3 linked regions of the Canis lupus familiaris genome follow. The protein of the gene in region 1 purifies or fractionates together with the protein of each later gene. This does not show direct contact. Links are inferred from orthologs where the notes say so. Each region holds a gene or a part of one and is shown on either strand. Other genes may lie near its edges. The genes, in order: BPTF, HMGXB4 and SMARCA1.

Region 1 (3,656 bases):
TAGAGACAGTAAGTAGACTAGTAGGCTGGGGGGATTTAGGGAGGATTAGAAACTGGGTACTAAGGAGTATGAAGTTTATTTTTGGGGTGGTGAAAATGTTCTAAAATGGACTGTGGTGACAGCTGAACAGCTCTGTGAAATACTAAAAACCACTGTACATTCTAAATGGGTTAGTTATATAGTAAATGAGCTGTGATTCAATAAAGCTGCTATTAAAGAAACATAAGGCAGTACCTCTCCTGCTGTGCGAACCAGATCCATTACAATCTTATCACCCCCAGGCTGCCCTCCACACCGGACTCTCCTTACCTTGGTCCTTCTTCTCAGTAATCTTGGAAACGTCCATTTCACTTTGGTCTGCCCCTTTTGCAGCATCTGAATCTTTTACCTCGCCTTTCTCAGAATCAGGCTCTGTTTTTATTTTTTTTGGACTCCGTGGACTTTTTCGTCTATCTGATTCATCCATATTTTCATCCACATTATTTTTGGCTAAAAAGAATTGAGTGTGTGTATATATATATAATTATAGGTATTCTGAACATTAGCAATCTGCTTTAACAAATCTAGTTCAGTGGAAATTATATTTCTAGCAATCTATACTGTTTTCTATTAAAAAAATATAAAACCTGAAGATAGTATATACTTTCCTAACATGCTCAACTGACCTAAAGCATAAGAGGAATGAGCACATTTTAGATGTACTTCAGGATCTTTCATATATGACACTATTTCAGCTGCTCAATGACTCCACAAAGTCTACATCAGTGTTTCTAACATACTTTATATTAAAGAACCATATTAGGAAAATAAATACTTAAGTATTTTTCACCCAGAGTCCATGGATAGACTTCAAGGCTATCTAAGAGCCAGTGAAATTAATTACAAAGGTTTGTTTGTATACTTTTTTTTTTCTGGGTAGGGAATCACTGTATTTATCATAGATTAAAAGAGACTTCAGAGAAATAACCAAATGCAATGTTTGGCCTTGTCTGGACCTGATTTACTACCAACATTAAAAGGGCATCTCTGGCACAACTGGGGTAACTAGAATAGTAACTGAGAATCTCAAGATGGACATGTTAAATATTGTTAGTGCGTTGAATGGTAATGGCATAATTTATGGAATAACCACTCCAATCAGAGATATATGCTGAACTGGTAGATAACATAATTTCTGGAATTTGCTCTAAATACATAGGGGGGGAAAAAAACTCCAGAAAAAAAGTAGATTATTACAACTAATAGGAGAATGACAGAAAGATGATGCTTTTTTACTTTCGTGTAGTTTCAAATTTTCCGTAAGGTAAAAAAAAAAAAAAATCAAGCCCATGATACAGAACTATTGTCCAGGTGAATTTTCTTGGGCCTTACAGGCATTTTCTACCTTTTATTATTCTCTTCACTTGATCCCAAATATTCCAAGGACTTAGCAATGTGTACCTACTTCTTATTTAAACAAATGACTCCTTCCAGAAAGATCTAGCTGAGGGAAGGGAAAAGAGTGCAAAAAACTTGGTATCTGTCAAGACAGTAGGATACTGGGGAGAGAAGAAACGAATCATAGAAAACAGTGATAGGATGTGTCTGGACCCCACAAGTAACAAAAGGACAAAAAGTAAACTGATACTCTCCTTATTCAATGCTTCTTTAGTTATTTCAGAACAACTGGGCAATATTTTTTCAATGATTTCAAGTTTCTCAAAAAGAGCTTTATATAATAGTAGTTCCACCTAAAAGTTTTAAGAACCCAGATGCTTAAAATAGACAATTATAAAATACTTGGGATGTCTTCTCCATTAAAGATCTTCTAGACATAAAGACAATTAATATCCTTTGTTAATCTTGCACATCAGTACCTTTATTGACACTTGTAAACTAATAAGCTAAGGCATTCAGTCTGAGTTAGAATGGAGGTTAGAAATAAGTGACGCAGTCAAACAAGCTGAACACTCTAGTCTTCTGATGCTAAGTCAAGGTTCCCTGAAACGCATTTCTGTTTTCTCCAGCACATCTGTGCCTCTGTCATATGATCAGATTAGGTTAATCATTATTATAGGGACCAATAGTTCTGAGATTATAAACTGGTGGTTACGAATACTAATGCCTTCACTGTAATTCTTATTCTATACTAACACATGCATTGCTACCACTGGAGAGGAAAAGGGCTCAAAAGATGTTGTAAGACCAACTTGGTACCTGACTGGATAAAGGCCCAGAATTTGGACAATAGAAACAGTATGCTAAGGAAAGTGGATATGAGATAAATCTGCAAAAACCTAAATATTTTGCTTATTGATAATCTGGATTTTATTACACAAGACAAAATAAGTCAGATATAATTAAACAAAAGCTCTCTATAATTCTATGTGCTATGTGGGTAGCTGGAGCAACAAAATGGCAATAAAAAATGTTAATCTTTTAGAATTTATTATAGTGGACATTTGGCTTGAATATAATCAGATCACAATAATAAAATTTAATATTGAATAGTTCTAGTTGGCAAATAGAACAATTCACTGAGCATCTATTATGTGCAAGACATTCCTAGTCCCTATAAATTCCAGTGACAGTTATGAAATAATAAGTATTTTTCCATTAAAAAGGTAATCCAAAATGATAACTTTATCACATCAATAATTTCAAATATCTCAACCAGTCCAGGATTCAGCAGAACCATTCACGAAGAAGCCAAATTAGTTAGCTAGGTATGTACACAGTACTCACTATAGCGTAGACTTCATAGGAAAGAACACATCACACCATACGTTAGCAAATTACACTGCACAGTGAGCAGAACTGCTTTTGAAAATAACCAGGTAACAAAAAAGTGATGGCAATGTAGAGTGCAAAAAAGGACAGTGGGAGGGACAGTGGGAGCGAGGAGACAGATTCCAGAGTTCTATCTGTGTGAACTGTACATAACTTCACATCTTCATGAAATAATCTACTCATGGAATGTGAGTTTCAAAACAGATGGTGTCTTAATAGGGCAGTTCCCCTCTAGAATTCTGTGACTCTAAATATATTAGTTGTTAGCGAGTAGCACAAATGGAGTTAATATCTCCCTCATTTATGTGGAAGTGTTTACAGAAGTCTCTATCACCTCCTTTCTGGTTTTGTAATGTGCTACAACATCAAGATTACCAGATAGGTGGTTCCTTAGGAAGTCAAGTAATACTGAATTTAAGATTGTAGAAAAACAATTAGGTGCTGAGGCCTTTTTTCTTTTTCTTTTTTTTAGGAAGTTCTATTCTATCATCTTTCTTTAATTGAAATCCTAGTTATAAATATCCTGAAAAAAAAAGTAATTTAAAGTATTTGAGCTTCTTATTAATAAATAAGCTACATCGGTAGTTTTGCATGTTCTATTAAAAATTCCAGAAAAATACTTTTATCCAAAAATATGGTCAATGCACTACAAATTTATAAGAAATAGTACAAAATCAGAAATTATGATATAGAAAAAATAACTTCAATTACTTACTTCCTTCTAATGATTTTCTGTAATTCACATTAGTATTGCCTGGCAACTTAGGAACAAACCTATAAACATGAGTTTTACTAATCCAGCTCCAACCACCATATCCTGTTACTCTGTATTCCTCTCCTTTTTGTTTCCAAACCTGGTATAAATGAAAACATTCTGATTAAACAAG
Region 2 (3,656 bases), on another chromosome or scaffold:
AATAGAGACAGAGCAAGATGTACGTTAGGAAAATGGCTAAGGGGGTCCCTGGGTGGCTCAGTGGTTTGGCGCCTGCCTTTGGCCCAGGGTGTGATCCTGGAATCCGAGGATCCAGTCCCCACATCGGGCTCCCTGCATGGAGCCTGCTTCTCCCTCTGCCTGTGTGTCTCTGTCTCTCTCTCTGTGTGTGTCTCTCATGAATAAATACATAAAATCTTTTTTTTTTTTAAAAAGGAAAATGGCTAAGATCAGAAACTTGGCCTCATTCCAGACAGATTTTTCTTTTTAAGAAAATCGCAGTGGGATATCAGTAGAAAATGACAGGTTTTAGTATTTCACAGCAACTTGGTCAGCAACAGGGAAAAGATACCTGAGACTGGACTACAAATATTAAAAATGTGATTTTTAATAATATAAGTACAAAATTTTATTTCTTTATACAACTGTAATGGGATTTGGATCAAACCGCTAGAATTTATTTAAAAAACAAAATAAAACAATGATATAAAAACTCCAAGAAGGTCTGAATCCAAAGTTTTTCCTCTAATAGTACCAAATACCACAAGGTACAGATTATTATACAAATGTGTACAAATTTAAATACAAATACAGTAGGGTTGGGTTTGAAAGGAAAACAAACAAACAGAAAGCAGGTCCTCATCAGGATTTCATTAATGTGCACAAATGACAAGGGTAGGACTGACTTCTTCCATGCTAATCCATGTCTTCCAGGCCCCTCCCTGATAGACCCTGGGTCAAACAGGAAACTTCCATTGGTACAGATGAGGTGTGGCACAGGGTCTAACAAGCGAAATCAAATCCAGTTTTCTGCTCCTTCTTGATTTTGGTTCCCAAACATACCCGTTTCCTTCTGTTTCCCCAGTTAAGCTTCATGACTGCTCTGAGCTAAGGGCCAGTCAGCAGCCAGAGTACCTTCAGGAAACAAAGCCCCATGAGCACACTGGTGGGGAGAAGGGAAGGGGTTAAGTCAGGTGCAGGCTGGCTGCTCAGTACTCAAAGATCTACTTTGACATGGTAGTGCTCTGTCTAGGCCAGGGGAAGAAAGCAGTTACCAGAGCTCGGTTTTGGCAGGGAATCTCACACCAAATTGAAAAACAACCCTGAAGTGCTCAACTGTCTTCTTTGGAACTGGGAAACACAAGTCTGGTTCTTTGGAAAAGTGGGGAGTTGGGAATGGTAACATTCCTTTTAATTTTGCTTTCTTGACATTATTGAATTAGAAAGAATTAGAATCCCGGCATAATGATTCCTTTTTGAGGCACGATACCTTAAAATGTAGATGATTTGGAGTTTTCAGAGGAGACCAGAGGAAAGGAGGAGGCAAGAAATGACAAATCTGTATCTTCCACATGCTGTTGCTGGTGGAGGCTTTTGTTATTAAATTATATATACAGAAATTTACAGGATAAATTAAAATCAAAGAGATTTTAAAGAGTTAAATACACATAATTAAAACACACATTCACACGCACACATAAATAAACCTACATGAGAATCGAGTACTTTTTTTGCAATTCACTTATGTGTGGAATGCAGAACACTGGGTATCTATCTGCCCACCAGGCGAGCCAACAGGATGAACCCAAGAATCATGCTGGGCAAAGTTCATCTTTCCCAACCATCAAGCAACTAAGCAGCAAAAACCTGTGAGGACTCCGTGCCTAAGCTAATGCTGCCGATGGAAGATACCAGCAGTTAGCTCTACAGATGAAATATTCTGGGTCAGCTCACAATATATGCAGTTCAATTTGTGCAGTAACAGCTTTACACTCTCCAAGGTGTTTTATGCTGCTGGGGCTCACATAACTCCTTGGCCCCTACTGAGGCTGCTAATGGTACCAATGATTACAAGAAATTTTGAGACATGGACACCGGTATAGCAGGAATTGGAATGAACCCCCTACGAAGTTCACCTAAGCCACTGCAGTAACTGTAAGATGGGAATGATTTCATCACTTCCTACCTAGGTCACTTCAAGTTGAAAGGCTTTGTACGTTCACTCAACTGGCATCTTCCCATAATCTTTCCTATTACATTTCCGACTGTAAGACAGGTAAGGCAAATGGTCAGTGATGGGTCTGGAGGTACAACTGAGTTTGGAAAAAAATCACATTTTAGCTGTCCATAAAGAGATGCCCTTGGCACCCTGAACAAGCCCCCAGCCCCTAAGTTACATTGATTTTTAAGGCAGATTTATCCACCACAGGAGAAAAAGGAATCCCAAGCCCATATTCATGCCAAGGTTTCTTCTTGGCTAAACCTTTGCCATTTCATAAAATTATTAAAAGCAAAGTAATTACAGTCCTATGTATATATTGTACACTTTATATATATATATATATATATATATATTTATATGTATATATATAAAAATTTAAAACCTACACCCAGAGGCCAGTGAAGGATCTGGAACAGTCATATATACACAAACCAGCAATGGAGGACGATAAGGTCTCTGTCCCGGGACTCTTTGTGGTCACAGTCCAGGCATGATGTAAGCAATGTTGTCTAGTGTGTTTGACTGCAAAACAAGGGAAAAGGTTTAGCTGAAGAGTACTTTACCCTTAGTTCCCTGAGGCCTAGTTCTCTGTTCAGAGGAGGGAGTTGAGAGTTGGAGAGAGCAGTGTGAGCTAAAAGCTGGCACACTGCTGTCTACTATGCTAGGAGCTTCTCTGCTGGCTCTTCCCATGAACCCTTGTGGAGATGCAGAAGACTTGTGTACTTTCTTTGGGTAGAGGAGAAGATAGGCACCAGAGGAGCTGCAGCTCCCTAAGGGCTGGACTGTTTTGGGAAATGGCCTGTTTTCTAGTTGCACTGAGGGCACTGTACAGTACCACATTCGTGGGCCAATATACAGAGGGGGCGCCATCTGCCGGGAAGCCTTACAAGCCTGTGCCTGATAGAGCTCGTTAAGGTAGGGCCTCGACGGCTCCCAAGGGGTCTGGCTGAAAAAAATCCAAGGAAAACAAGGAAAACTCACCAAGACCTGTTTGGGACAGCCGTTCAGTTCAGGTAGTTGTGTGGTCAGACACGCCAAGGGTCCAAGCGCACAGATAATGGAATCCAGAAGCACTGACAAACTGCCAGACACAGCCACCATGCCCTGAAAGGAGAGCAGGAAGAGACAGCAGGTTGTAACTCGAGTCCCACTCCTGATCGAGTTGGTTTCTTCACATTGTTTTTTAAGTCTTGCTAGTTCTCTGCAATTTGCAGCAGAAATGGAAGTTATCTGCTTTGATAACTCTGTGAATCCTTTAAAAAGAAAACTTTTACAATACCTTCCCAGGTTCCTTTTCTATGTTCCTAACTCATCTTACCCTCTGTGCAACGAAGGGTTATGACTTAAATCAATCTACTCTGGAAAGCTCCTGGGAAGATTTGTGGAGGTCATGTGTGCAACTCCACGAATATAGCTCAAATGTGCTAACTATGAGAGTTCTACAGCCCTACATGCTAACATTTAACGTAAACATATGTGTACTTCTCCACGTATGTGGTTTCTGATAGCTGATGATACAACTTTTCTGGGTTGAGTTGTTCACTCTCAGAAAGAAGTGAATCAGGTTCACTTCAAATTTTAACATCTTGCACAACTCACAATGTTTCTCCCCCTGTGATTCAAACAGGTAAGAAAT
Region 3 (3,656 bases), on another chromosome or scaffold:
CACTACATGTTATAGAACATAAATAGTCATGTGGCTCTTCTGGGTAAGAGTGATAGCAAATATGGCTCCAGAGTCACATAAATATGAATATCACTGGGTCATAAAGATCTAGAACTGCCCCCCTGCCCTCTCTTAAATCCTATCTTATTCATTTGGTCTTAAAATACCAATCTAAGCCTTCATATACTCCCTGATCTGGTGGAATCAGCATCTTAAATAGCCTTTCTTTCTTTCTTTGGTCATTTTATTTATATGACCATCATTCCTTAGCTTACTTCTCAGGCTCTATCTGGCACTATGCTACATCAGGACTCAACATTGCTCTTTACTTTTTTTCATTATTCTATCTATTCACTTTCTGACTGCTCACGCATTGAGGTTCTTACATTCATTGATTCATGCTTTCATCATTTATTGTTCGATTTATTCATTCACACATTTAGTATTTACTTTATATACCCCCACTTTACTACCAAAAGGATTTCAGGTCACCTACAAAGAAAATATGTTTCAGGTAGCCTACAATGAAAACATGGAAGATAAATTAATGGTAAAATAGAAATAAAGAAGGGCCAAGAAAAGATTAGAAGATATAGAATAGAAAAAGGCACAAAAGACACAATGGGCCTGCCATTACATTCCACAGGGGCTCGATTTTGGCATTAATTCTGGCTCTGAGTTTCCTGGAAGCCAAAGTGCAAACAAAATCAAAATTACAGGGAGGTTTTTTAAACCTATAAGCAAATCACACTAAGAATTTTGTAGCCTGTGAAAGTATATGTTCTCAAGGTTATTTAAAGAAACAGTTCTAGAGTTTACAAATGCCCTTTACATTCTAACTAAATAAAGCAATTAGACTCTAAGCCTAAGGCAATACAGCTCAGGTATTTCAAATTTACATAAAAATCATTACTAAGATTGTGTTTTTAGCTATCAACTCCTTACCATTTCATCTGCCAAGATACCATTGACTCCATTTTCATACAGAGAGATCAACCAGTTCAGCCCTCGAATCTGATAATCTCTCAGTGGTCCTCCTTTCACATCTGAAAAAGAGATCAAGACGTTTCATACTTTTGTTAAATACAATCAAGAATATTTTTCTAAAACCTAATTGAAAAAAAACACCAACGCAATGAGATACTTACATGAAGGTGATACCTCGAATCTAACACAGACATTAGATGTTTTCCGACTCTCTGAGAGGAGCTCTTCATCTTCTTCTTGTTCTGTGCGCCTGTGACGGTAGCTGAATTGAAAAGAAATATCTTTATACTCAACTCAAATACTAAGCTATCAATTAAGTCAGTATATCTGTCATGAAAAAAATGAGTTATCTAAGGTCTTGCTTAGAAGTTGGTAGAACCAGCCTGCATTTTTACTGATTCCTAGTGAGAAAAAATTGTTGCCTCCAAAACTTATTTACATTGACAATAACCCCATTTTTAATACAAAATTATACTCAGTAAGCAAAGAGGGAATGAGAGGAGAGGGAGAAGTGGGGACAGAAGGAAGGGAGGGAAAAAAGAGGGAATAAAGTAGAGAGAGATGCCAACATACTCTCCAGCAGAAATTAAGCTTTGCTTGTCATCTTTCTTTATTCGAGGACGTCCCAACTTCATGTTCAGAGGAGAGGTTGGAGATTTCTGTGCTGAAGGTTGAATAAAATGTGCAAAAAGTTCTGTCTGCTTTAATAAAAATTCAAATCTCTTTGCTCGGTCTGCTTTCTAACATACAAAACAAAAGAAAAAATAATGATTTTCTTTTTTACTCAAAGTTATTTAACAAATACTTATATTGCCCTTACTTTGTACTATGTTCTCAACACTTTCAACATATTAACTCATTTAATGGTCTTAATAAACTTATGAGGTAGGTACTAATATTATCTACATTTTACAGATGATAAAAGTAAAATATGGAGAGAGTAACTAACTTGTCCAAATTCCCATAGCTAGTAAACAGCAGAATTCAAAAATGGCATTTTCAGATAATTTGAATAGAAGCCAAATGATCTAACAGTAGTAAATGCCCCAACAAGAAGTACCCTGCTTAAAGAGTCAGGGTCAAAAAGCAAAAACTTTTTCTAAAACGTAATGATTTAGAGATGCCTGGATGGCTCAGCGGTTAGACGGCTGTCTTCGGCTCAGGTCGTGATCCCAGGATCCGGGATCAAGTCCCGCCGCATCAGGCTCCTGCGAAGAGCCTGCTTCTCCCTTTGCCTGTGTTTCTGCCTCTCTCTGTGTGTCTCTCATGAATAAATAAATAAATCTTTAAATAAATAAGTAAAATGTAATGATTTTCTTCTCCCAAGTGAACAAAATAAAGCATCATAACATACGATATATCCTAAATACAGAAATATAAATTATTAGCTATGATATACATATACCATTAACTGAACTCTTAGACTTTTCAAATTGCATCTAGATACAATTAACACCTTAGAATACAGTGTCTTCTTGTCTATAAATATTGTCAATGCATGGTACAATAATGTAATAAATATTTCTCTCTTCAATTACAATGATCTGGAAAATTGCACTTTTTTATTTATTTAAAGATTTTTATTCATGAGAGACACACAGAGATAGAGACACAGGCAGAGGGAGAAACAGGCTCCCTGCAAGGAGCCTGATGCGGGACTCAATCTGGGACCCCTGAGCCAAAGGCAGATGCTCAACCGCTGAGTCACCCAGGCATCCCAAATCACACGTTTTAAAAAGATTTTACTTATTTGAGAGAGAAAGAGCACACAAGAGTGGGGAGAGGGGCAGAGGGACTTGCATAATCCCTGCCAAGCAAAGAGCCCAATATGGGGCTTGATCCCTAGGCCCCAATATCATGATGTCAGGCAAAGTCAGATGCTTAACTGACTGAGCCACCCAGGTGCCCCTGGAAAACTGCACCTTATGCTAATAACATAAAAAGTTTGTCTTCAAAGCAAGCAGGATTTGGGGGAAAAACATACACATACACATATAAGTATAATAGTTAATATATATTAACTACTAAAAATTGGTATGTATTATAATTTCTCAATTCTGCTCACTTCGGCAGCACATATAATAATTTCTCAATAAATTGTAAAAGGGCATATAACTTGTACCATAATAATAAAATAAAACTTCACTATAAAACCTTAGAAGGTCAAAAGATATATACATCATTTTAGATTTAAAAAAATGAGAATGATTTTTTAATTCCCAATCACTTTCTGACCACAGGGTAGAGAATATTTGATTGCTAATGAAGGATGCATAATTAATAACACCAGAAATGTACAAGGGTTCATTAACATAAACACAAGAATTAGACAAATATATTCAGACCAGAAGCTGGAAGGAGGCCAAAACCTTTCCATTTTATGTTATCCTCACTGGAATGTTGTTTTTAGAGTTGTTAAAACATTAACTGTCTACGTTAGATGTGACCTTAGACATTTAGGCAGGGAGTTTGGTAAAATCACTATGAACAACTAAAAAATATCCTTCATCTCTACTTATTTTTATAATGTTCCTGCAAAAACAACCCCTCAAAAAAAAGATCAGTTCCAACTACCTGTTAATTTCTCTTTTGAGTTAACCAAATTCACTAGTTTTGAAAGATCCCAAGGCATAGAAGTCTAGTTAAAATGAAAGCTAAGATATGAACTT

Evidence for each region.
Region 2: the proteins of BPTF (region 1) and HMGXB4 fractionate together in Homo sapiens (co-fractionation; 3 studies listed by BioGRID, with this or other methods). This does not show direct contact. The link is inferred for Canis lupus familiaris from reciprocal best matches to the Homo sapiens genes BPTF and HMGXB4.
Region 3: the proteins of BPTF (region 1) and SMARCA1 purify together in Homo sapiens (affinity purification with mass spectrometry; 4 studies listed by BioGRID and IntAct, with this or other methods). This does not show direct contact. The link is inferred for Canis lupus familiaris from reciprocal best matches to the Homo sapiens genes BPTF and SMARCA1.

What each region holds. Positions count from the first base shown.
Region 1 is NC_049230.1:14,276,229-14,279,884, reverse strand, and holds part of BPTF (nucleosome-remodeling factor subunit BPTF), read right to left. Parts: intron 3,624-3,656; coding exon 3,485-3,623; intron 490-3,484; coding exon 310-489; intron 1-309. UniProt on the Homo sapiens protein: Regulatory subunit of the ATP-dependent NURF-1 and NURF-5 ISWI chromatin remodeling complexes, which form ordered nucleosome arrays on chromatin and facilitate access to DNA during DNA-templated processes such as DNA replication, transcription, and repair.
Region 2 is NC_049231.1:29,825,075-29,828,730, forward strand, and holds the end of HMGXB4 (HMG domain-containing protein 4), read right to left. Parts: intron 3,125-3,656; coding exon 3,002-3,124; intron 2,543-3,001; coding exon 2,498-2,542; 3' UTR 2,407-2,497; intron 2,064-2,406; 3' UTR 383-2,063; downstream 1-382. UniProt on the Homo sapiens protein: Negatively regulates Wnt/beta-catenin signaling during development.
Region 3 is NC_049260.1:101,628,175-101,631,830, forward strand, and holds part of SMARCA1 (probable global transcription activator SNF2L1), read right to left. Parts: intron 1,728-3,656; coding exon 1,561-1,727; intron 1,250-1,560; coding exon 1,149-1,249; intron 1,047-1,148; coding exon 946-1,046; intron 1-945.